Alligator mississippiensis: one gene and its partners. The protein of the gene in region 3 purifies or fractionates together with the protein of the main gene of each other region. This does not show direct contact. Links are inferred from orthologs where the notes say so. Each region holds a gene or a part of one and is shown on either strand. Other genes may lie near its edges.

Region 1 (8,240 bases), on a different chromosome or scaffold from region 3:
TACTGTGCACTAAACACACAGCTGCTGGGTGGTAAAAAGCCAATCTCACCCCTAGCCTCCCCTCAAGTAAAGCTGGTGAGAGGGGCTATAACCATGTTTAAAGCAGTGTGTGGACCCACTATACTTTCAAACCACTTCAGTTTGCCTGCGTGCACAGAAGAAAAAAAAAATTATACTTATGCTAAGGAACTGTATTTAAGGCGAGACACTGATGAGGGGAAAAAAACCCTGAGCTCTTTGACAGGTTTTTTTGTTTTGTTTGGGGGGGGAGGGGGTTTAAATCCACCCAGGTAAAAACAAATTGTATTAGGAGACATTCATGGATAAATATGGCTGGGGCCAGGCTGTTTGTATGGTAGGTACAGGGATTTCTGTTATGAGAGGTTTCATACCCATTACCGAGACCCTAAGTCACCAAGCCACTGAATGGCATCAAGCAGGAGACAACAGCTCCTCCCTTTGATACATTTTCTATTTTCTCTCCAATTATTTCCATGAATGGTTTGTTTTTATTTTGTCCCGTCAGTTCCTGCTTGCAGACCCTTTTGTCATCTAATTATTCTAAAAGCTGTGGCACCTTAATGTGCTACCATGGAGACAACTGATAGGACACAGCATGGTCACAAGTACTCCTAGGGTACAGATCATCAGAAAATGATGGAAAACAGAAATCAGCTCATTACCCTCCATCAGGCAACTACACTTTCCAGTTCTCAACTGAAAACAGTGGAGTTACACCAAGGATGACTGTGTCCCCTAATGCTTGCAAAAATCTGAAAGAAAGGTATTACATTCCCCGATACGCTGAGCGTCCCTTAGAAGAGCCCTTTCCTGGCTCAGTGGTCATGCATTATAAATTACGCCATTGCAGCAGTGCCTTCAGACAAGACTCGATAGATTTGACCATCAGCTGTTAGGGGCCACGGAAGCAGACAACCCAACAGGTTAACTAGGGTTTTATTCAGCAGTGGTTCTGGTGATCTTATTCCCTTCTCAATTAGCTTTATCAGAGTATTAAGTTTTTGGGGGCAGGGATCCTTTATTGTGTTTTTACAGCCTCCTAACACAATAGATTCCAGGTCAATGACTGTGGCTCTAAGGTTGGACAGGGATAAAGTTAGTAGCAGTATTAGTGTAAGAGCCGACTGGGGGGGGGTCTTTTCCTTGCTGTGATGCCCACAGGCACACGAACAATCAGAATGGGATCATCAGTAGGCTCCAGATAGGTCCCTTATAATCACCAAGTGAGAATCCCAGGCTGTTCTTTTACATGTGCCTATAGGATATTTTGCATGAAATACTACTCTGATCCCAGTGTTTTAATTTCCCCAGGAGCGGCAGTTATGCCTTCTCTTAAATAAGCTGTGCTGCCTACACACAGTCTTACTTCTGAGGGCTGCCCGAGTCTAAGTCCCTATGATGGGGTCTGTTCAGGTACCAAAGATAGAGCTATTTCTACTCATTACAGGCTCTCTTAACAATACAAAAGCTTTACAAGTCTTTTGTTGGCAGATAACACAGTGCAGAGGCTAGTGTGGGGAAGAGAGAACAGTAAAAGGGGAAGAAATGGGAGACTGTCAAATTTTGGGCAGGAGGGGTGTGAGGGGAGGTCTAAAACACAGCACTATCATAGCAGTTGTCTTAGGAAAATCCCTTGCAACCTGCATCATGGTCACAGAGGAAGGTAGTTCCCGATAGGCAAGAATAATCACAATGGCTACAATAGCTTAACCAGGCTACAGACAAGCTCAGAAAGATCTCCAGGTGTTGTGTCTGTGTCTTCTCTGGTTACCTGCTATTTGTTGAATTTGCTGATGATTTAATATGAATGTTACATGAAGGGAAAGCATCAATCTTCCTGTCACAAAATGGTAGTCCCCAGAGCTTACAGGGGAACAAACAACCCAATCCTTTCTGCATCTTCTCCATCAGCTCCCGACATGGCATCCACCATAGAGGACAGAAGCAGACACTGGGGTGGGGATCAAATTAAACTTAAATGACACTGTTGTTTTGCCTCTTAACAACTACCTCCATCTTTAGGGGGCTGCATAGCATTGGGGGCAAGTCTTGCACCCAGCCAGTCACAATCAAGAGCAGAGGACAAGCTGTGTTAACCTAGCCTTCCTAGCAGGCATTTCACCTTGTAGGATTCCTCAGGGTGAAACTTGTAACAAATAAGACATCTAGTCATGAAGGATGTGCTCAGATAACAGCAGGGAAAGGTTATCTTGGTATCAAACGGGTTTTGCATAGACAGTTCTGTATTTGCATGCGCAGTATTCACTGATCAGCCCTTTCCAGAACCACATAGATGATTCAATGCCAATAATGATTCAGGAGCTGCATCATTTTTGGCACAGGTTTGAGGGTCCCCAAGGTGTGATAAAATAGGAGAACACACCAATTGTGGCTATTTTCCTCAGACATTTCTACCTCCTGAGATTACATAACGGAGGGAGCCTTTGTTTGTGCTTTGCTGTATCTCTACGAGGGTGTATTGAATGTACAGACCAATCTATGTTATTCCTTCTCTCCTTGAAGCAGTGCCCTCCCTCCCATACTCCTCAGCCTGCCCCCTCCATGTCCAGCAGCAATTGTCCTCTGACAACAGTGTGAAGGGGGGCAGACATCCTTCTATCCCAGCTCCTTCCCCTGAATCCTGCCTCCCTGTCTTTAGGTCTCAAAAAAAAATAAATAAATGATTTAAGATTTAAACCATTAAATCTCCTGTGCTGTGGACAACGCATTTAGCTCCATGACTTCCTCACTCCCTCTCCACCTTCAGACAAATGGCTTCTTTTGTGCATTAGTCACTCCAGAGAAGGATCTGTGGGAACCTCTTTCACCTCCCCCTTCTCCAAACCCTATGAGAGCCTACCCAGCAATGAGGCCCAGCACTGATCCGCTGCCAATCAGATCTAACCAGTTTAGAGCTTGACACTTATACACACACACACACTTATATGCTGCGGAGAGAGACCCCTGGGCTACTGAAGGTGACAGTGTCACCGCTCATGGATTTCTGCATTATACCCTGCATTGCAATCCTAGCTGTAGAGCGTGTGCATGCAGCAGGGACTGGGCTCCTTCTACACAAACCCCAAGTCAATGGGAGCAAGATCAGCCCTCCTCCCCCTGCTTGAATTGCACTGCCTGCATATTGAGTAATGCCTTGCACAAGATACAGACACATCAGGATCCAGCACTAGAACGACCCCTAAAATCATACGTGTCTTTGCAATCTTACCTTCCCACGAAATTCTCCAGCACGGAGCTCTTGCCGGCGCTCTGCCCCCCGACCACAGCAATCTGGGGCAGGTCCAAGTTGGCATTCTGGCCGATGGCTGCGAAGGCATCCTGGAGCTTGTTCACCAGGGGGATGAGGTCTTCCATCCCGCGGTTCCCCATGCTTGCAGCTCTGCCTGGCTCTCACCTTCTAGGCTTGCAATGCAACCGCCTCCTTCTCCCCCGCTTGCTTTGCAAAAGATCTACTGGTGGGGATCGACCCCCGAGCCCGCATGGGGGGCTGTCCCCACCCACCCTTCCGTGGCCAGTGGGGCTGGCTCGCCCTCCGCCTCCACCGACCTTGCCCAGGTCCCTAGATCTCTGCGGCAGCAGCGCTGCTCCCGACTGCCAGCTCGAGACCCGCTACCCGCCGGGCTCCTGCTTGGATTTAAAGCGCAGCGACCGAAAGCCGCCGCCAGGGGGCGCCGTGATGCCTCCGGCGCGCCCAGAGCTTCATGGGACTTGTAGTTTCTCTCTCTAGTGTCCGTGGGCGGCCAAAGCGGGCTATGCAGCAAGAGTAGAATAAGAGGGATGTTTCCAGTGTCTCAGCAAGCAAAATCCTCACTAGTGGAGTTAAAAGGCGAAATTAAAATCCAGCCCTACAAGCTGAGATGTGGCACAGCTTCATGATCGCTGATCTCTTGCACGATCAGGGATACCTTGCAGTACAGAAAGTAGGAATAAGTCTGTCTTCTTTCTTTGAACCTGGAGAAGCACAAAATGATCAGTGCCCTGACTCTGCACGCTGGAAGGGCACTGTGAAACCATCCCTTCCAACATGTGAAGTACTGTCTCTGTAAATAGTCAACACCTGAAATCACTGGTCTGAAAGGTTATGTTCTTGTATTTCTGATTGGCCTTCTGTTTTTGGATCTCTGCGTTTTGCATTTCATCCGACCGGGAAGTGATCCATTTCAGTTTCTTATTCAGCACACTCGGACCTTGTTGCCATTTCCCAAATATGCAGGGAAATACTTAATAGGATGTTTCCACCGGTTCTTTTTTTCTAATTTTCACAAAGAGAAAGTCTTCCATTTCAGGGTTTGTGAAAGGGTAGCTACAAAAATAAAATGCAGGGCCATATTTACATTGGAAGTATGCCCAGGTGAAAACAGTAGTGTGTTTGGGAAAAAAACAAAGGAAGTGGTGGCTCAAGAAAATATATAGCATCTCAACTGCCATTGTAACTGAGGCTAAACGGTATTCCTGTTCCAGGCTCAGATTCAGCTGAAAGCATAGTACTTTGGCCCTTTGCCTGAGCTGCCATCTTATTTTCCAGAATTTCTGCTCTCAGTTTTTTAAATAAGTCTCAGCTATTATAATTGTACATAAAACCTCACAAATATCAGTCAACTGTGAGCTATGCAGACACACCTGTATGAAACTGCAGAGCCTGGAACTATAGCTCTGAGAGGTGTGAAATGCCCTTTTTGTATCAGGGACATGTTAGCTCAGATGTCAAATGATGATTTACATCATCCATGCTGTTAACTTTCATTCCTCACGCAAGAAAGGTAAGCGGGGAGAATCAAAGATCTGCATCTCGTGCTGTGGGTGATGCATCATTTTCAGGCCATCAGTTGGTGGTGTTTAGGAGAAACCACTACTTATTTTTCCTTCCAAGCTATCAAGCCTAGTTAACCTCAAAGAGGGCCAAGCTTAATAACCCTAGTGGAGGTTAAGAGGTGCACACAGCCATATGTTGCCAATTTCTCTCTCTGCTGTGAGCCGCCTCTCATTCTGAGGATTCATACAGGCAGAGTCTGAAATAACAATATTACCCTCTCTCCCTGGCAGACTCCTGCCCTTGGAGATATCAGCAAAGTGTGAAACAGGCATCAAGAATGCCCTCCTTCCTGTCCAAGCCTCTTTAAGGAGCAACATCATTTCAGTCTCGCCAGACACATCTTTGCAGTCCCCCTCTAGCAATCTTGGTAGGAAAGTTACCATTTGCTAGAAGCTTGCTTTAATCTGCATTTCTAATATTCCTATACAATTGATTGTATTTGATTGCTATGGTCAACATTTGTGCTAACAGGAGCGGCCTCAAACTGTGCTGATATTGGATTTTGCCCCCATCTGGCTGTTTCACATTCTAAACAGGTGTTTCACTCCGGATGAGCCTGTTCCCCAGAATTCATCACTTGGAATCCTCCTGTTCTCAGTGAGATCTAAAATTAAATGAATATACTTGTTTTTCTATTAGAAAAGGTTTGCAAAAAAGCAAACCTTTGTGCCAACAGCTGATTTTCACACTGAAAAAAAAATTAATGTCCCAGGGGAAAGGAAAGGAAACTGGATGGATTGGAGGCAACACAGAATTTGCAGCAGGATCATTTATGAGCTCTTAGGTATTCTTGCCTTTATACTGATATGAAGTTGAAAGCTGCGAGAATCAATGAACCTACGGCTCTGAGGTGAGCTCTTTATGCCCTGCCTGGTTCAATCTAATCACAGTAGCCATGCTACCTGGTGCAAGAGAGGCCTGAAAGAAAGTGCTAGGGAAGCAAGCAGAAGAAAGCAGATTCTCTTCCCAAGCCTCCAAGAAAGGAGGAAAAAGGGAGAAGAAAAAATCTGCAGAAACGGTGGCAAAGTGCCTTGAGATTTTCACTCCGAGCCTGTCAGTCACCATGAACGTTACTTTGTAAGCTGCACAAAGCACTTCACCTTTTACTGTTTTGCAGGTGCACTCGGGTAAAGGAGGATATGGCATGTGTGCATGATATCAAAGCTCTCAATTGTCAGTAATATTGCCACAGCATTAGTCTGCCCTGTCAGTTCTGTGATGATTCCAGTCATACAGATCATGGCCTGCAAAGTCAGAGCCCTAAATTTAGGTATGAAGGAAACTGAGGTCTGATATCAAGTAGAACTGCATGTGCTTATTACCTCTCAGAATAATTTTCTGCTCATGTAAAAGCTTGTGCACAGGAATGGTGTCTGCAAAGGGCAGTGTAGCAGGCTTTGTGACTGTACAGCATTGCCTTTCTAGATGACTTACACACCTGCTGTACCAGTAGTTAAATAAAAAGAGCCAAGTGATGATCCTTGGAGAAATTATCTTACAAATAAAAAAGGACATTTCCAAACAGGAATGGAAGAGAAAAAACAAGATCATTTCTAGGCTAGTAAGTGCTGCCTGGGAACAGATGAATGAAGGAAAAGGGAGACCTTTTCTTTAAGATGGTTTAAAGATCTAGGGCCATACTTTTAAATTAATCTCTAAAACTGTACCTTCACATAAAGATGCTGCTGCTTGCAGCTCCATCTACTGATGTGCTAACAGGCAGCGTGGGTGCACTAGTCAGAGCAGCAGAGACTTCTTATGCCTAAAGAAGGGTGATTGTGCCTGAAAGCTTGCTAAGAACTTTTTTTCCAGCTACTCAGTTGGTCTAATAAAAGATATCACATCTACTCAAAGAACTTTGCCTGCCCTTGTTGGGACAAATGTACTTATGCAAAGACATCTGCCAACTATGTGGCTACTGCAGTTTAAAAGCCCTTTTGGAAAAGCACATCCTTTAAAAAGTCATCCAGTAGAGCAAATGCCAGCAGGCTGCCCCTCTGCAGGAGAGATCCAGGTGTATTGTCAATACACTCAGACCCCAGTGGAACAGTATACCAGATCCCATGTAAAGATTAGTAATTTTTATAATTGCCATTGGTGTCCTGCTCACTAAGAATCTCCTTTTCAGAGATCCTGAGCCCCATGGGTCCCAGCCTTCAGCCAGAGTTGTGAATGCTCAGAATTTCTGACAGTCAGATTACAGAGGAACCTCACATGCTCTTCACAGATTTGTTCCCAGGACACTTCTACAATCCAAGGTAAGAATCTAAACTTTTAAAAGATCAGGGATGGGGATTGCCAAATGGTTCAGTGTAGGAGAGTATCTTTATATCACTAGTGAATAACATAGACATGCAAGAGGAATGTTTTTGACATAAGAACAGTTATCTGGAACACGCACATCCCCCAAATTCTTGTTTCTGCCTGTGTTGCTTTGGCAGTCAGGAAAAAATAGTGAAATAACTGCTCCATTCCCCTTCAGTTCTGAAACAGGACACGGTAGAACCCACCTCACGCTCCTCCCTTTTACAAAAACCTTCAACAATGGCAAATATCGTTGAAAGCAGATTAAATTAAATTTATCCCTGGTATAGCTCCACTGATGTCAGGACTTAAGCAAGGTAATGAATACATGTAATTTTTGTAGCCCAGTGGGAAAGGGATTTTTGACAAGCGTGCGTCTGGAAGAATGAATGACTATTTTAAGACCTGTAGATGAGTTCCCTGTGCATTTCAAATGCGGAGAGGCAACACAAAATAGTAACTAAGTCTATGTTACATCCATGTGGGACTGAAAACAGTAAATAGAAGTTACTTGGGGCTATTGTAGGGAAGGCATCATCAAAATAGTATCTAAATTTATATCCTGTGGACATTATCTATCTATAGATGGTATTCAGCAAGAAATATTGCAAACAAGTTTGTATGTTAGCTGGCTGAAGAATAGATGGTAGCATCCCAACGCTTCCTGTACAAACAGTTTGGATAACCAAGTACTGCGTATAGCTAAGTAGTCAATGCCCTGTTGGTTCCCAGCTGGCTGGTTATGGCCTGGGTGGATCAGACAGGAAAACAGCAGAACCCAGCAAATATCTATATAGATAGAGAAATAGATCTAGATGGGTAGATAGATGGATATATCTAGATACATTTAATTTGTATCCACAGCCACATTAGCAAAAACTAATGCTAAATCCAAGTGTCCAGAACCATAAGCGGCCTACTACCGGCAACCATCCTCCACCCGCATCTGGGGCTTCAGCTGTTTCCAAAACCTTTGGGAGGCATCCTACTTGCAGGCCCAAGCCCGGGGGCTTGGGGTTCAGATGCCCCTGAGTTTTGCTTGTCCTCAGCCCTGCGGCCCTCGGAGCAAGCAAGGGGGGAG
Region 2 (8,420 bases), on a different chromosome or scaffold from region 3:
AACAAAAATGAATGTCTGTCCAACTGTTTCTCAGTTTAATCTCTGCAGCTTAGACTAACCTGCAAAAACTGAATCAATTCAGCCTCTGGCTTTTTTACTGTATTTAACCTAAGGTATAGGCAATCTGCCAACTGTCCCTCAGGGTCCCTGAACCCAGCAGAAGGTGCACTGAATTTGCAAGGCAAGAGGTAATAAATTCTAATCCTATGGCTGTTAGAATTCCTTTGCCCTCTTCATACTCTATTATGAAACACAGCTTAATATTACCACCTTCGGTGAGTAAAGTGATGTTTATCAGTTGTCCACATCAAGATAACAAAGAACTTACACACAGTGCTGGGAACAAAGCCCAAGTCTACCCACACTGTTCCGTAGTCTTTTAAAAGGAAGAGAGGTAAATCAAATGCTTCTGTAATCTAGTGAAGCCCTGTGTCTTCCTCTGGCAGCAAGACCACATATGGAAATGACAATTCTGTTACTGTGTGAACACCAAAAGATCTGGTTCCTTTGGCCAAGTGGTGGAAACTCACTTTTACGTCCACTGATCCCTCATTCAGTCCCAGAAATGCCTGAAATAGATGCTTTCTTCTCTTTGTTTCTGCCTTCTGTAAACACTATATCATAACATATGCCCAGTACCAGGATGAATAAACAAGTATCCCAATGTCTAAAGTTAAATCTTTTTCCCACCAATACTTATGTGATCTACTGGTAATGTGATGTGTATGTTGCATTTCCCCTGCAGGGCCTCCTCCACACAGGATAACAAGATGCTTTCCAGCCACTTGTTACAGCTATAGAACTGAATTGGAAATGGTACCTGGAGACAAAGGTTGTGGGTTCAAAATCTGTTGATGACCCATAAGAATGAAAAAAAGAAAGAAAAAACACATTAAGAGTAGAATAATAACTGAAATAATTCTATACAGAGCAAAACATAAGTGAGATTGCAATGAGAATGTGCTCTACTCATGTATGTATGTTAAGATTTTACCTATTTCACTTAATAACAGCTGGCATTTTAACAAGGTGTAAGAGCTTTTGCCTGTATATCCAGAGTGTAAGAACCTACTTGCATCAGCTCCAAAACCTCAGAACTTGACTAAATAAATGTCGTACTCCCAGAAAGGAAACTCTCATTCTTAAAAAGTCTCTTTTTAACATTTTTGGGAACAGCACTGCCCAGAGACACCCAAATTATAGTAGCTATAGATGGCTGATCTGCAGGTAAAGCAATTTAATTCCTGCTGACCTGTGCTTCAAAAATTGTTCCCATCTCCAAGTTACTGAGTTAGCTCCTCTCTGACAAGGGTATGAGAAGTCTGACTCCCACATCCAATTCACTGCTGTGTTTTGCGCTATGCTGCAAGCTCTTTGAGGCAAGGACTCTCTCTTACACTGCATCTGTGAAGCACCTAACCCAGCAGCGGGCAAAGTCCAGTCCACAGGCCAGATCCAGCTCACAGTGGACTCTTATTTCCCAGAAGCCCCTGCCTGCATTGCTGAAGTGGGTTTCCCTCGAGACCCCAGGAGCAGCAGAGCCATGATAGTGAAAGACCAGGGTTTCCATGGAGACTGGACGCAGAAGTGCTGGCAGGGCGCACGGCAGGGGTGTGCAGGCAGCAGATCATGGCTCTGCCCCATCTCTGGACCATGTTTCATCACTGCAACATCCCAACCCCTGCCCCGGAGCAGCTCCCCCTCCAGCCGTGTGTCCTGACAGTGCTGCTGGGGCCAGTCTCCATGGAAACCCTGGCCCCGCAGTGTCACAGCCCCGCTATTCCTGGGGTCTTCATGGAAACTAGCTGCGACACAGACAGGAGCTGCTGGGAAATGGAGTCTGGCCACCAGCCGGATCCACCATTTTGCTCATCTCTGGCCTAACCTAATAAAGCTCAAAGCCCCTTGGGTCCTCTAGCAGCAGCCCCTGCTGTGGAGACCAAAATATCTTAATTTCCAATTGATGAAAGATGACCCTACTGTAATTGTCATACAAGTGCATTAGAGGCAGACAGAGGGTTTTTCTACTTGCACAGGTACACCATCTCTGCTGAAAATTTGAAAAAATTAAAAGCAAAAAAAAAAAAAAAAAAAAAATGCGTAAGGAACTGATCCTGCCTAAGTGCAAAGAATGGAGCAGAGAAATTCTATTCAACATTTCTATGAATTCAGACTGCTGTAGTATAAAGCCACCACTGTATTTGTTGCAAAGTGCTGTCTACTGCAATTGCTATCAAGGAGCTCAATCCAGCCAAGCCACAGTAGTTGGATCACTTTTAAGTCCAATCAATTAATCAGCAAAAAACAGAAACCTTGGTGATATTTACAGTCAGCTCTTCCACTGTTATATTTCCCCAGAGAGATTACTGCAAACCATCCTAGCATAAAATGGTATTGATATCCTGTAAACAATGCTAGTTTTCCCAGGGCATGTTAAAAAGTGTGCTCTCCATACACATTTTGAGCAAACAGCTTAGCAGAGCTGCATGTTATATCCGCCTTCCAAAGAGATGTCAGCCTCTTTGAATACAAGACATACCCTTGATGAATGTAGCAGCACTGTCACATTTCCCAACATCCAATGGAATCCCCATTACTAAGCACTTTAGTGAGACAGGAGCCCTGTCTGCTTCTCAGAAGGAAGGAAAGGGAAAGGCGATGCCACCCTCCTGCATGTGCAGTGGAAACCACACGAGAAAGCAAAGTCACAGCCCAGCCTCAGACTTTATCCATGAAGTCGCTGGTGTCACTGGAACACTACACATCTGGTCCCCAACATCTGTCTTAGCTGCCACAGCAAAAAAAAAAACAACCCAAAACCCAACCACCCTCCACTCACTGCTTGAATCTCTCTGCTACACCAGCCACACTGGAAACCCAGGATGCTGCTCAACACCTGTGTGGAGGGGACCCACCACTACCAAAAACAGGGGGTGGGAGAAGAGGAGGAGAGGGGGTTGTTTACGGGGGTGATGGAGCATCCCTGGTCGCGGCGGGCAGCCTCCTCCTCTGCAGCCTGGCAACAAACCTGCATTAACTGGGAGGCTTGAAACACATGTATGCGCACGCACACACCCTTCAACACACCCCCTCCTTCACACACACACACGCACACACACACATCCCCCTTCGATATCCCCCACCCCCTTTGACACACGCGCATGCACACACACCCTCTGGCATACACACGCACACACCCGTTGCCCGCACGCCTGCCCTTGGACAAGCCGCAGCCGCCCAAAGGTGCCGGGCGCTGCGGGGCGGGGCGGGGCGGGGCGGGGGCTCCGAGCAGCAGCAGCGGCGAAGCCGCCCTCGCCCTCACCTGGAGACGCAGTTCTCGAGCACGGAGCTCTTGCCGGCGCTCTGCCCGCCCACCACGGCGATCTGCGGCAGATCGAGCAGGCAGCTCTGGCCCAGCGCCGCGAAGGCGTCCTGCAGCCGGTTCACTAGCCCGATCAGCCCCTCCATCCCCGCGCCGCCGCCAGGTAACGGTCTGCGCCGCACGCCTGCGCAGTGCGCGCCGCACCCCGGGGGCGGGGCGGGGCGGGGCGGGGCGACCGGGACACGCCCCTGCCACGCCCCCCGTGTTGTCCCGGCTGCCGGAGGCTGCCTGGGGCGGGGACGTGGCGCCTGCGAGTGATAGAAGCCCCGTGGGGCATCCAGGAGTCCTGGAGAAGACCCGCCCCCCGCAGCAGGGGCGGATGCAGAATTTGGCAAAGGGGGTGCGCCCCCAGCTGCAGCCCTGTCCTGCCCTGCGGGCACGAGCCCTACGCCGTTGTAAAGTTCCCGAAGCAGATGAGCGTCCCCCTGCCTCGCTCAGAGGCGTCCGCCCCCGTCTCTCTCTTCGTCTTAGCCCAGCCCCACACAAGTCCTCCTGGACGGGGAAGGAGCAGCTCTGAAGCTTTCCCCACCTGGGCAGGGCTGGATTAACACACAGGCAAACTAGGCACGGACCTAGAGCCCTGAGCTGAGGGGGACTGGCCCTTCCCTCCAAGGTGGTGGCCCTGTCCACCTCTCCTCCCTTCCCTTCCCTCCCCCTCCCCTCTGCCAGCCTCCCCACAGCAGCTGAGCCCCACCCACTCCCCGTGGCAGCAGCACCAGGGTGGGGAAGGGGGTCTCAACCAGCTTGGGACCCACACATTTGTTTGCCTAGGGCCCAGTAAAGGATTAATCTGGCCCTGCACCTGGGGACAGTAGGGAAAGCAGGTGGGGGGGCTGGGGGACAAGGGGAGGGGGCCTGTGTTTCTGAGGACAGAGGGGAAGTGAGGCTTTTCTTCCACTTTGGGGGCTTCTTTCGAAGTCTGCAGAGGCGTGCAAGCGTGTGCATGTGATTTTTAGGCTTGTTTGCTTTGCCTTCAAGGCTTCACATCTCAGCCTTGAGGGGGAAGCTGAGTCCCAAAGGAGCATGTTGCTCTACAGCCAGGAGGGCCAGAGAATTACTGAGAGCCTAGTGCTTCCCTTCACCCCTGACTTGCTCAATATCATGAGAACTGCCAAAACCACTCAGACCACCACAAGCATCAGGTATCTCCTGGGCCTGCTACCTCCACTCTAACATCCCTGTGCTCCTCTGAACTGCATCGTCTTGAAGCTGGCTGCTGCCAGGCTTCTAAAGCAGGTCTGGAGTGAGGAGGGCAGGTCAATTAATTTTTCCAACTGTTTAGTTGGTCTAATAAAAGATATCACATTTACCCAAAGATTAAGAACCTTGTCTGCCTATGTCCTTAAACCAACATAGCTACAACCTACATCCTCAAAGGCATCAGGCCTCTAAGTCTATGCATCAGGCATTGGTCTATGCAGTTAAAGCCGGTCAGCTGTATTCACTTGTCTTGATAAAAAAATATATATATATTTAAAATTTATGTAGCAGGCTTACCTTTCAGAGCTTGGGCTGAGTCCCAGGTTTGAGATCCTGCTGTTTTGATTGGTGGAGCCCATCCACCAATCAGGAGGCAGTAAGAGAAGTGAAGTCACATGCCTTTCCTGATGGGAGGGAGAGAAGAGCTCCCCTGGACCTGATTGGAGACTGCAACACTGTCAGGCTCAGAAGACTTCAGGGGCAGAGCCCTGGAGGGTATAAAAGGAGCTGTGCCTCCAGCAGGGGGGAGATGCATTAGGGACAGAGAAGGGCGGGGCTTAGAAGAGCTGAGGAGAGCTGCTCAGCAGGGTATAGCAGTAGCCCCTGAAAACTTCTATCAGCCGGGAGCTGCAGATGGCTCCAGTGGTTAGGTTCTCGGGGCGCAGCACGGCATCCAGATCCTGGCAGCTGCATGAAGTGGCTCGGGTCTGCAACCTTTGGCGTGCAGCCAGAGATGGTGCACAGGCTGGGGTATGGAGCAGGATCTTTGGAGCCACTTGAGCAGCTCAGGTCCTCAAACTCCACATGAGACTGGGAGCTAAGTGCAGACAACGCTGCACAGATGGTCCAGGAGCAGACCAAGCCCTGGTGCTGCACAAGGCTGCCCAGGCCTCCAACCCCTAGTATGAGGTAAAGCGCCCGCTACACACAGCAGTGCATGTGGCCCTAAGCCAGGCCAGTGACAGTAGTCAGGCGGCAGGAAAACCCAGCAGGAACAGAGCTCAACCTGGAGAACAGGAGGCAACCCTCCGGGACTGTGGAGTAGTAAGTAACCCTGGAGAGAGGGTTCCCACAGGGGAGGGACCCCCAGGGTTGTGAAGGGCCACCTCACGGGCTGCTCCTGGATGATAGCAGGGGGAGCTTAGGAGTCTTTGGGGTCTCCCTCTCCTTTTCTTTCCTTCCATCTCCTTTCCTGTAGTGATACCTTGGGAGTGGGGCCCCTGCCCTGGAGGGCACCCAGGTAGTCTAAGGGTTGCTTGTTATATATGTAGCCTGTGCCTTGTAGTTTATGTGAATAAGTTGAAGTAATAGTTTGTATATTAATAGAGTTATAAAGTTGCCCAATCAATATCCTTTGTTCTGGGTTGTTCTGTTGTTCACTTGTATTTTTGAATAATGTGTGTATATGGTATAAGGTTAATTGTTTTGTAAATGTGTACATGTGATGGGCTACCTGGTAATGATTTGGCCCAGGGGTTTTGAAAGGGTAAAAGATGATTGGAGGGCTTTGGATTCCCTTTCCTCATCAATCGGGCCCCAGAGATTCACCTTCCATGTCCCCTGATTTGGCCCCTCGGGTCACCTGGAGGGGGATAAAAGGGGCAGTGCAGCCGACTTGGAGACCAGCAAGGGAACAGGAGGAAGGAGTTTCAAAGAGCTGGCAAGAGCTGGGCTAGCGGGGCAGGAGCAGTTGCCCCAGAAGCACCTGAAGGAGTGGGACCTGCAGGCAGCAGTTGGACCCTCAGAGGCACGGTGTGTAGCTGGCAGGAGAGGCTCCCCACTGGGCTCTAGGATCCCCCTATGAGAGGCTGTGGCCAGCAGGAGAGGTTTCCCAGCTCCAGCAAGAAGCTGAGTAGTGACTTGAGAGGTTCCCAGCTTTGCTTCCAGCTTCTCCAGCAAGAGGCAAGAAAGCTTGATGTGAGGCAGGGGCTCTTGGAAAGTCAAAACCCCCAGCAGTTTGCAGCAATACTAGCACTGGTGGCTGTGTGGTAGAGTTTCTGCATAGTATGTGAGAGCTCTGAGTTCAAGTCCTAGTTAGGATAAATGAGGTGAAATGACAGGGAGAAATTCTTGTTGCAGTGGAAGGGGGTCATTGTGTTTTCCCTCTTTCCCCCCCCCCCCCCCCCTCCAGGTACCTAGCCCCTATATTTCTTGTTGTTTGTCATTTTGTATCTTGTGCCTCTTATATTTTGCCAACCAGTATTGTTTGTTCTGCTGTTTGCGTTTTTATATTTTGTTAAACCTGTCTTTTTGTCAACTGGAAGAATATGTCTAGGATTGTAAGTGCCTAACTTCTATTGAATCCTGCCCCCTCGGGGTGTTGTAGTGTTCCCTATACCCCCTGGTTTACACATGTTATGTTCCCACTACTGTTTTTCTCATTAAAAGGTATATGGTTAAGTCCCCATTGGTAATCTGGCTTTGCTCTATAGGGGAAGGAGGATCCCTACACCTCCCACAATGCTTGTGCACCTGCTCTGATCCCTTCAATTGGAGAGGGGGTACATCTTGGAGTACCGCCCGGGTTACAAACATATGTCCTTACCCTTAATGGTTTTATTGTAATAACTATATACAAATTTGTTAAGTAATTGATTTGACTGGGTCTGACTCCATAGGGGACAGAGGCGGCCACTAGTCTCCTGTGTCCCTCCACAGCACCCTGCCCTGCCAATAATTCCCTCCAATTGGAGAGGGGAGTACAAACCTGTGTACACCCAAGTTACATTTAGAAAGTTATATATGGCTTCTTTTTGATAGATTGGCCAATGTCCTTTGATTTCTCTCCCCCCCCCCCCCCCCCCAAAATAACATTACACCACAAAAATGTAAAGCACAGGTAGATTTTGACAGGAAGTTTTCAGAAGAGAAACAGTAAAATTGCCATTATTTGAAACTGGAAGTGATTCTCCCTCAGTGGAAACTGGTACAAAATATTTTTAACGTGAAACTTCTGAACTGACCCTGGCAGCTTCTCAAAACAGAAAATGAGTTAAGGTATGAAAAATGTGATGCTTCTCTTCCTGTATTCTCCTAAAAGCCCATTAGCCTCAGGAGAGTGTATGGGTCTTAATTTTCTTACTGGGCTGAGTGCGACAGTTGACTTGCTAGAAGTTGTTTAGGAACTTTGTCATTGAAACAAAAGCTTGGCCCAAAGGTGGCAAGCCCTGCCAATAATCGGGGATTCTCTATCTGGTTTCCTTGGTGACCTACAAAACAAATAAACAACTGTCCCATATCCCAAAGCCTGCAATCCTGTGTCATAAACAATTCTCTGGTCACCCTTCAAAGTTGTAGCATCAGACATTGTTTAAGCCAGGAGTGTCAAATGCATGGCCTGCAGGCTAAATCCAGCTCACAGAACCATCCTAGCCAGCAGTCTGGAAGACTACCAGAAGTTGGGTATGTGCCCTATGAAGAATGGGCTGCTGCAGAATTCAGGGTCCCTGAACGTTGATGGACATGGCCTTCAGCAGCACAGGGTGAGTGAGGGCTACACAGCACATGCTTGCCACCCAATTTCCCAACCTGTGCTCCCACCTGATTCCCCAACTTGCTCTGCTGCTTACACTTGGACATGCACTGCCACAATTCCCAACTTGTGCAATTACCTCATTGTGGACCTGCAGGGTCTAGACCTGCTGCAGCTGCTGCTGGCTTTATGGATCGGGTTCAGGAGGACCCTACATGGCCCAGATCCAGCCCAGGGCCTAAGGCAAGTTTGACACCCCTAGTTAAGCCATTAGTAAGTTGCAAGGGAAAAAAAGGAAGAGCAGGGGCTGTAGGGATGAGGAGAGGTCTAGTGCTAGTGAAATGAGTAAGGCTTCCCTTTGCCTTT
Region 3 (8,149 bases):
TTCTTGAATGTTAGGTATTTAATTTGTTGATGCATATTTTTCAATTTTGGATTGCATCCATCTCAATAAACCAGAAAACTAACTCTGCCTACTGTAGGGCAAGCAGACATCAATGCAGCAGAGCACAGCTGAGAACACTGCAAAACCTTTTTATGTCATTTGGGAACCTTTGCGGGTAGGTGAAAAAGTAGTCAGTGCCTCAATGGTAGATGACTCTGCTGCCGCAATTGGCATGGCAAGAGCCTGCACTGCCCTGGGCACCTCACAGCTGCCTCAGGCTCAGAGCTCCCCATCTGGCTGGGCCCCTAGATGGCAATTAAGCACCGAATTTTATTAACAGGTGTTAATACAACTAGTTTCATTGATTTCAGTGGGACTATTCATATGCATGAACACTTGAAGGATCGGCTCCTGATGCTAGCCTTAACTTTCAATTTAGTGCCCAGTGTAGGATCAAGCTATATATGCAGCAGCTAAATAAACAGCCTTGAATATCAGTGTACTTGACCCACAGGCTCCTATTATAGGTTTTATTTCTGTTGAAAGACTGACTTGAACTAAAAATAAGGCTCCTCCTAAGAAACAGGAGTATTTTCTTTATTAAATAATAGGTCTCTACATTTAAGCTGAGCTAAAGCTCCCTTTATTTAAGGGTCATCACACTGTTTCCAGGTATTTGCAGCACTCCCATCCCCAACCCAATAAAGCTTAAAAGGTAACAAATGGCACAATACAAATTAAATCAAAACCTTGCAAGCTACTGTGGCGATGGAGGTAAATGATAAGCCATTTTTTCTCTAAGAAATCTACTAGTAAACTGAAGAAATTCTGTGAAGCAAACAGCATTTTTCTAGCAAAAAGCTTTACAAGTTTTACTAAAGCCTCCTTGTGAACTTGCAAATCAGAGCAGCATTCACTTTTTCACAAATAGGAAAGCAAAGCAACAGGGAAATTAATGGTAACATTTTCTGAAGCATATGGTACTTTTGGATGCCTCATCATTAGGTATCCAACATGATGCATGCAATATGATTTTCAGGAGTACCAAGTAGTCCTCAATTCAACTGACACAGATTAAAGCTGAGGGCCTTCAGAACCTCTAAACAAAAAAAAAAAAACAAGATCTAAATGTCTGGAATAAGACTCTCAGACGCACCCATGTCCCTCCACTGACAACAACGCTAAAAGGCACTTTAGGGGGAGGGGGGCAGGGCAGGAAACCAATTGGAGAGAGTGCAGAAAGCTCTTCAATTTACTTGACAATAGTACAGCAAGAGCTGATGGCTGAAAGCTTAAAGCTAAACAGTACCAAATTCAAAATAGAGCGCATTTATGAACAGCGAGTTAGTTAACTGCTGGAAGTCTTGACTGAGAGTTGTGACGGAGTTTCCATTTTTTAACATTAAAATTAGCTACTTTTTCAAAAATACAACATTCAAATACAGAAAGTTGTTCGGGGAGGTCCTGTGTTTTTGCAGGTCAGATTAAGATCAGTTGTTCTCAGTGTTTTAGGCACCCCTTGGAAAATGCTAACTTTGCTCTCACTCAGTTTTGAGCGCAGAAAAACAACAGAGGAACTCTTCTGTTGCAAAGAACACAAACACCACATGTCTGAATGTTTCTGATGCTCTGGAATCTTATTGGAAGCCTCTGAGTTTGTCAATCACGTGTCAGTCTTCGTGCTAATAGTAGTAATATTGTGTGGCACCCTTAAAACTTTCTGCTTGAGAATCAATTAACTAGATGATCACAACAGTCTTCTGGCTTAAATCACTGTATATAGAGCATTAAAATGTGGTCTTCTCTCAAAAAACCCCCAAAAAACCTAAACCAACCCTCATCCACCAAGTCACGGTAACACAAATCCGAAACAAGATTTGGTAACATTTTTGCAAGTACCTCCCCAACATTTAGCAGGATCTAATAGGAGTTAGCAAGTTTGAAAGGGGAAGAGGACCGCTTGGGGTAAAGATAACTGTGACAACTAAAATCCTACTTCATATAAGTAAAAAATAGCTAGCTATGTTTCTGAATGGTGTACTGAAGTTGCATGGACCATCAACAATTAAAAGTAGAACCTATTGTTGATAATCTAAAGCATGACAGATAAAGCTTTCTTAAATGTATTGCACGCTAAGGCCAAGGTAACAGGCTACTCTCTTATCAGTATATCAAAACAAAAAGCCAAGTAGGTATTTACACCTGAAAGAAAACCCAGCTTCCCCTCAAAATTAAGGAGATGAAGCTGAAAACTGTTGCAGCTCTACTGCCCACCAGGTAATTGTATTGAAGAGAGTATTCTTCTCTAAACAAGTTACAAACTACGATAAAAGTGGGAAGAAAGACAGAGCACACACTGCTGACCCAGAGTACACTATTGCAAATCTTTATAAAGTACTGTAGTATATAAACTCCAAGATTAAACCGTGCCTCAGTCAGATACCAGTAGCAGAGATATATTTAAATGTTACAATAAGGTAAGAAAAACCCTGAACGAGGTGGTGTTTATGTAGCCCACACCTTTCACTCAAAGTCACATTCCCTCTCCAACAAGTATTCTACTGATTCTAGAAAGTCGATGGCTGAGTGACAGGGACAAGTTTCAGAGGTCATGGATGAAAACCCAATTACAGTCTTGGTTTCTGTGACAGCTACAGCAACAAAGTGCTGGTTTCTTACACTCTTCGCTCACCACATCCAAAGGTGCCCCCAGGACCACCACAACTCTCCACTTCCTTGCTGCAAGACAGCACAGCAACGGCAAAGCGGTCACTTTAGGTTATCTCCTGTCTGAGAGGGCCCTTACTTCAGCAGCTGGTATCAAGAAATGCCCATCGCCTCTCTGAAAGGATAACTGTGGCCTGTGTGTGGCCTGCAGCTCCATGACACAGAACAGCCCTGGCTCCCGCCCGGTCCAGAAGAGCACAAAACAACTGCAGTCACTCCCTCTGCCTGAAGAAGGGTGCTCCTACCCGAAAGCTTGCAAAAAACAGCTTTTCCAACTATTTTCTAATAAAAGAGATCGGGTTTACCCTAAGAACCTCGTCTGCCCGTGCCCTTAGACCAACGGGGCTACAACCAACCCCACGAGTTTCTTCCCTGGCAATCAAACCAATTAAGCGGACAGAGAGTGGCAACAAAAAGCAGCACCTCTCCAGACAGGGCTTCCAACAGCTCCTCCCCAAAACCAAGCCAGCCCTGGCACCCGGGCAGCGCCAGGGGGGGAGCGGGGCGGCAGACTGAGGCGACCAGCGGGCGGGTGCCGCGGGAAAGGGGCCGGGCCGGGGGGCACCCCAGCGGCTGTCCGCCCCGGGCTCTGCGTCCTGGGAGCACGGCCCAGACCGCAGGGAGCCGGGCCCAGGCCCTGCCCGAGGGAGACGGGACCCCAAGCCCGCAGCGGGGGGAAGAGGGGGTCCCGGGGCTGCGGCCCCGGCCTGGTGTTCACCTTGGCGGCCATGGCGGCGGTGCGGGGCCTCCCTCCGCCCGCTCCTGCTCCTCCGTCCGCTCCCGATCCCGGTCCCGCCCGCTGGCGCGGAGGCGGCTCCTACCCTGGCCGCGGCAACCGGGGCAGTGGGGGGCGGGGCCCGGCCTCTGCCCTATCCACGCCCGCTCCCGCCCCCCGCCACGGGCAGCACGGGACCGGGCCGAGGGCGGGATTGGGCCGGGGCTGGTGCCGCGCGCGGCGGGGAGAGCGGCGCTCCGGGGGCCGGGGCCGCCTCAGCCACGTGTGTGTGCGACACAGACAGACAGCTAGTGCGTGCATGCATGCGTGTGGGAGAAGAGGAAGAGTCCGTCCCGTGTGTGAGATACGCGTGTACTGGTGTGCGCACGTGTGTGTTGGTTCGGGCGGGGGAGGAGGACTAGTCCGTCCCGCGTGTGTCCTCTGTGTGTGTGTCTTTGTGTGGGGGAGGAGGAATAGTCTGTCCTCTGTGTGTGTTCACGTGGGGGACAAGTGTATGCATGTGTTTTCATGTGGGGAAGAAATAGTCTGTTGCGTGTGTGCGTGCATGCGTGTGTCTAGGAAAGGAAGAATAGTCCATCCCATTTGTGTGCGTGTGCTGTGTGGAAGGAAGACTAGTGCATCCTGTGTGTGTGCTCATGTGTGGAAAGAGAAATAGTCTGTCCCACGTGTGTCCTGTGTGAGTGTGTTTTTGTGTGGGGGAGGAGGATTAGTTTGTCTCATCTGTGGAGGGGAAAGCTGCTGGCCCACCAGCCATTAGCCTTGAAGCAGGAGTTTCAGAAACCTGCATCTGGAGGAAATTAATCTTCCATGACATCAAGTTTCTTCCACAGCATTTTTTTTTTTGGTCTGTACTTCACTCGTCATCGGCATGTGTCATGTGGGTGGGCCCTGGCAGGCATTGGTAATTATGCAGAGTACTACAGTATCACCTAAGGGACCAACCAGACCGGAGCCCTATTGTATGAGGTGCTGTACACGGATATAGAATAAAGGTTATTCTTAAACCTGCTTAATTTACAGCCTTTGAAAATGAGGTAATGGGTAGATTAAAATGGGGAGGTAGGGAATACAGGGACAGCAATACAAACAAACATCTGCATACACTCACTGTGTGCATAGTTTGTAAATGCAGTGGTAGTGGGAGGGGGCAGCTTTAGCCACATCTTCAATCCCAAGTTAAAGAAATAGGGTAATTATACAGTTGTCCTCAGGAAGTTAGAGAGGGTCCGAAGACGAGCAACAAAAAAGATAAAGGGCAAGCCGTGTGAGATGTTGAAGGAAATAGGCATATTCAGCTTGCAGAAAAGGTGCTTAAGAGGGGACATGATAATAGACTTCAAATATCTGAAGGGCTGCCATCAAGATGAGGGAGAAGACCTTTTCTGTCTTGCTACAAACAGCAGGAACTCAGACCAATGACTTGAAGTTGCAGCAACATAGGTTTATACTGGAGATGAGGAAAAACTATGAACTGTTCAGGAAGGACAGGCAGAGGAGAAGAGGAGGAGTTGCACTTTGTGTAAAAGAGCTGTGTGATTGCTCATAGCTCCAGTATGAAATGAGACAGGCCCACTGAAAGCCTCTGGCTTAGGGTCAGAGGGGAGAGCAACAAGGGTGATGTCGTGGTGGGGGTCTGCTATAGGACCACCAGACCAGGAGGATGAGGTGGACAAGGCTTTCTTCAAACAGCTAGTGGAAATTTCCTGATTGCAGGCCCTGGTTTTCATGGGGGACTTCAATCACCCTGACATCTGCTGGGAGCGCAATACAGCAGTACGCAGGCAATCCATGGAGTTTTTGGAGAGTGCTGGGAACAACTTCCTGGTGCAAGTGAAGGAGTGACCAACTAAGGGCCATGCTCTTCTTGACCTGCTGCTCACAAACAGGGAAGATTTGGTGGGGAATATAGAAGTGGATGGGAACTTGGGCAGCAGCAACCAAAAGGTGACTGAGTTCAGGATCCTGAGGAAAAGGCAGGATGGAGAACAGCAGAGTAAAGACCCTGGACTTAAGAAAATCACCTTTTCACTCAGGGAACTGATGGGCAGGATCCTCTGGGAGGCCAGTCTGATGGGGAAAGGAATCCAGGAGGACTGGTTATGTTTTAAAGAAACTACTTGAGGGTGCAGGAATGAACCATCCCAATGTACAGGAAGACTAATAAGTATGGCAGAAGAGCAGCTTAGCTTAGCAGGAAACTCTTAAATGAGCTAAAACACAGAAAGGAAGCTTATAAGAAATGGAAACTTGGACAGACTAGGGAGGGGAGTATAAGAGAACTGCATGGGCATGCAGGAATGACAATCACGAAGGTCAAAGCACGGCTAGAGTTGCAGCTAGCAAGGGACATGGAGGGTAACAAGAAGGGTTTCTACAAGTATGTCAGTAACAAGAGGAAGATCAGGGAAAATGTGGGTCCCTTAGAATGGGGAGGCAGCCTAGTGACAGAGGATGTGGAAAAGTTTGAAGTACTCAATGCCTTTTTCAGCTCAGTCTTTACAGGCAAGGTCAGCCCCCAAACTACTGCACTGGGCAGCACAATTTGGGGAGGAGGTGAGCAGCTGGCAGTGGTGAAAGAACAGGTTAAGGACTAATTAGAAAAGGTGGATGTGTACAAGTCCACAGGACTGAATGGGATGCACCCAAGAGTGCTGAGGGAGGTGGCCAATGCGATTGCAGAGCGTCTGGCCATGATCTTTGAAAACTCATCGTGGTCAGGGGAGGTCCTGGATGATAGGAAAAGGGCAAATATAGTGCCCATCTTTAAGAAAGGGAAGAAAAAGGATCTAGGGAACTACAGACTAATCAGCCTCACCTCAGTCTCTGAATAATAGAATCATAGAAAATTAGTTTGGAAGGGACCTCATGAGGTCATCTAGCCTAACCCCCTGCTCACAGCAGAACCATCCCCAACTAGATCATCCCAACCAAGGCTTTGTCTAGCCAAGTCTTAAAAACCTCCAAGAATGGAGGTTCCACAACCTCTCTGGATAACCTGTTCTAACGCTTTACTACCCTGCTAGTGAGAGAGTTTTTCCCAATATCTAACCTAAATTTCCCTTGCTGCAACTTGAGACCATTGGTCCTTGTTCTGCCATCACTGAGAACAGTCCAGCTCCATCCTCTTTGGAACCCCTCATCAGGTAGTTGAAGGCTGTTATCCAATTCCCCTCAGTCTTCTTTCTCCTCTCCAAACTAAATAAGGCCAGATCCCTCACACTTTCTTCATAAGTCAGGTGCCCCAGCCCCTTCACCATTGTTGTTGCCTTCTGCTGAACTCTCCCATTTGTCTACATCCTTTCTGTAGTGGGAGCCCCAGAACTGGACACAGTACTCCAGATGTGGCCTCACCAGTGCCAAATAGAAGGAAAGAATCACTGATCTGCTGGCAACACTCCTACTAATCCAGCCCAGTATACTCTTAGCCTTCTTGGCAACAAGGGCACACTGTTGGCTCATATTCAGCTTATTGTTCCCCAGGTCATTTTCTGCAGAGCTGCTGCCCAGCCAGTCAGCCCCCAGCCTGTACTGGGACATGGGATTGCTCTGTCCTAAGTGCAGGACTTTGCACTCGTCCTTATTGAACCTCATAAGATTTCTTTTGGTCCAATCCTTCAATTTGTTGAGGTCTCTCTGTCTGAATCCTAACTCTACCCTCCAGCATGTCTACTACTCCCCCCCAGCTTGGTGTCATCTGCAAACTTGCAGTGGGTACGCTCTATGCCATCTTCCAGGTTACTAATGAAGATATTGAACAAAATTAGTCCCAGGACTGACTCCTGAGGCACTCCACTTGATACTAGCTGCCAAGTAGACATCAAGCCATTGACTACTATCCTCTGAGCCCGATGATCCAGCCAGGTTTCTATCCACTGTATAGTCCATTCATCTAGCCCATACTTCCTTAGCTTCCTTAGCTTGCTTGCAAGAATGTTGTGGGAAACCATATCAAAAGCCTTGCTAAAGTCAATGTATACCACATCCACAGAACCAGTCATCACATCATAGGAAGCAGTCAGGTTGGTCAGGCATGACTTGCCCTTGGTGGATCCATGCTGACTGTTCCTAATTATTTTCTCCTCCAGGTGTTTAGAGTGTTTGTCAATACCCCCCACCCCCAGCTCATCAAAACTCCCTAAGTGGCTCTGTCTCAGGCTTGGCCAGGTGGGGAGCAGCATCTGGGAGTGGGGCAGGCAGGCAGGGTTAAGGCAGAGCACTGGCTCATGGGCAAGGGCATATGGGGAACAGATTGTGACTCTTCCCTGGGCCCCAGCCCCATGTTGACTCCAGCAATCCCAGGTTCTCCATGAAAACCAGCCAAGGTCCGCGTGGGCAGGGTACATCACTGGGCAGATGGGATGGGGTCATGGGCAAGCAGAGAGCGTCTGGCAGTGGGATGGGTGGGCAGGGACTTGTGGGCAATGGATTGTGGCTCTCCCCTGGGCCCCAGCCCTGCACAGTCACCACTCAGCAATCCTGATCTCATCCCTGGCCCTGCCTGTCCGCAGCCCTATCTGGGCCAGTCTCCATGGTGACCCTGCCCACGTGATCCATCCGCAGTGCCTGACAGTGGGTACAGGGCAGATGGGCCTAGATGCCCAGGCAGCAGAGCTGAGTCCAGCAGTGGAGAGTGGCAGCAGCAGCTGGAAGGAGCTGCCACCACCAGGACGGCCAGGAAGCAAATCC

Evidence for each region.
Region 1: the proteins of SNX9 (region 3) and DNM1 purify together in Homo sapiens (co-immunoprecipitation; 6 studies listed by BioGRID and IntAct, counting the BioPlex papers as one, with this or other methods). This does not show direct contact. The link is inferred for Alligator mississippiensis from reciprocal best matches to the Homo sapiens genes SNX9 and DNM1.
Region 2: the proteins of SNX9 (region 3) and DNM3 purify together in Homo sapiens (co-immunoprecipitation; 3 studies listed by BioGRID and IntAct, counting the BioPlex papers as one, with this or other methods). This does not show direct contact. The link is inferred for Alligator mississippiensis from reciprocal best matches to the Homo sapiens genes SNX9 and DNM3.

What each region holds. Positions count from the first base shown.
Region 1 is NC_081835.1:57,699,801-57,708,040, forward strand, and holds the start of DNM1 (dynamin-1), read right to left. Parts: upstream 3,705-8,240; 5' UTR 3,412-3,704; coding exon 3,251-3,411; intron 1-3,250. UniProt on the Homo sapiens protein: Catalyzes the hydrolysis of GTP and utilizes this energy to mediate vesicle scission and participates in many forms of endocytosis, such as clathrin-mediated endocytosis or synaptic vesicle endocytosis as well as rapid endocytosis (RE).
Region 2 is NC_081828.1:44,901,057-44,909,476, forward strand, and holds the start of DNM3 (dynamin-3), read right to left. Parts: upstream 3,507-8,420; 5' UTR 3,469-3,506; coding exon 3,323-3,468; intron 1-3,322. UniProt on the Homo sapiens protein: Microtubule-associated force-producing protein involved in producing microtubule bundles and able to bind and hydrolyze GTP. Most probably involved in vesicular trafficking processes, in particular endocytosis.
Region 3 is NC_081824.1:136,046,470-136,054,618, reverse strand, and holds the start of SNX9 (sorting nexin-9), read right to left. Parts: upstream 3,611-8,149; 5' UTR 3,458-3,610; coding exon of another isoform or gene 3,446-3,457; intron 1-3,445. UniProt on the Homo sapiens protein: Involved in endocytosis and intracellular vesicle trafficking, both during interphase and at the end of mitosis. Required for efficient progress through mitosis and cytokinesis. Required for normal formation of the cleavage furrow at the end of mitosis.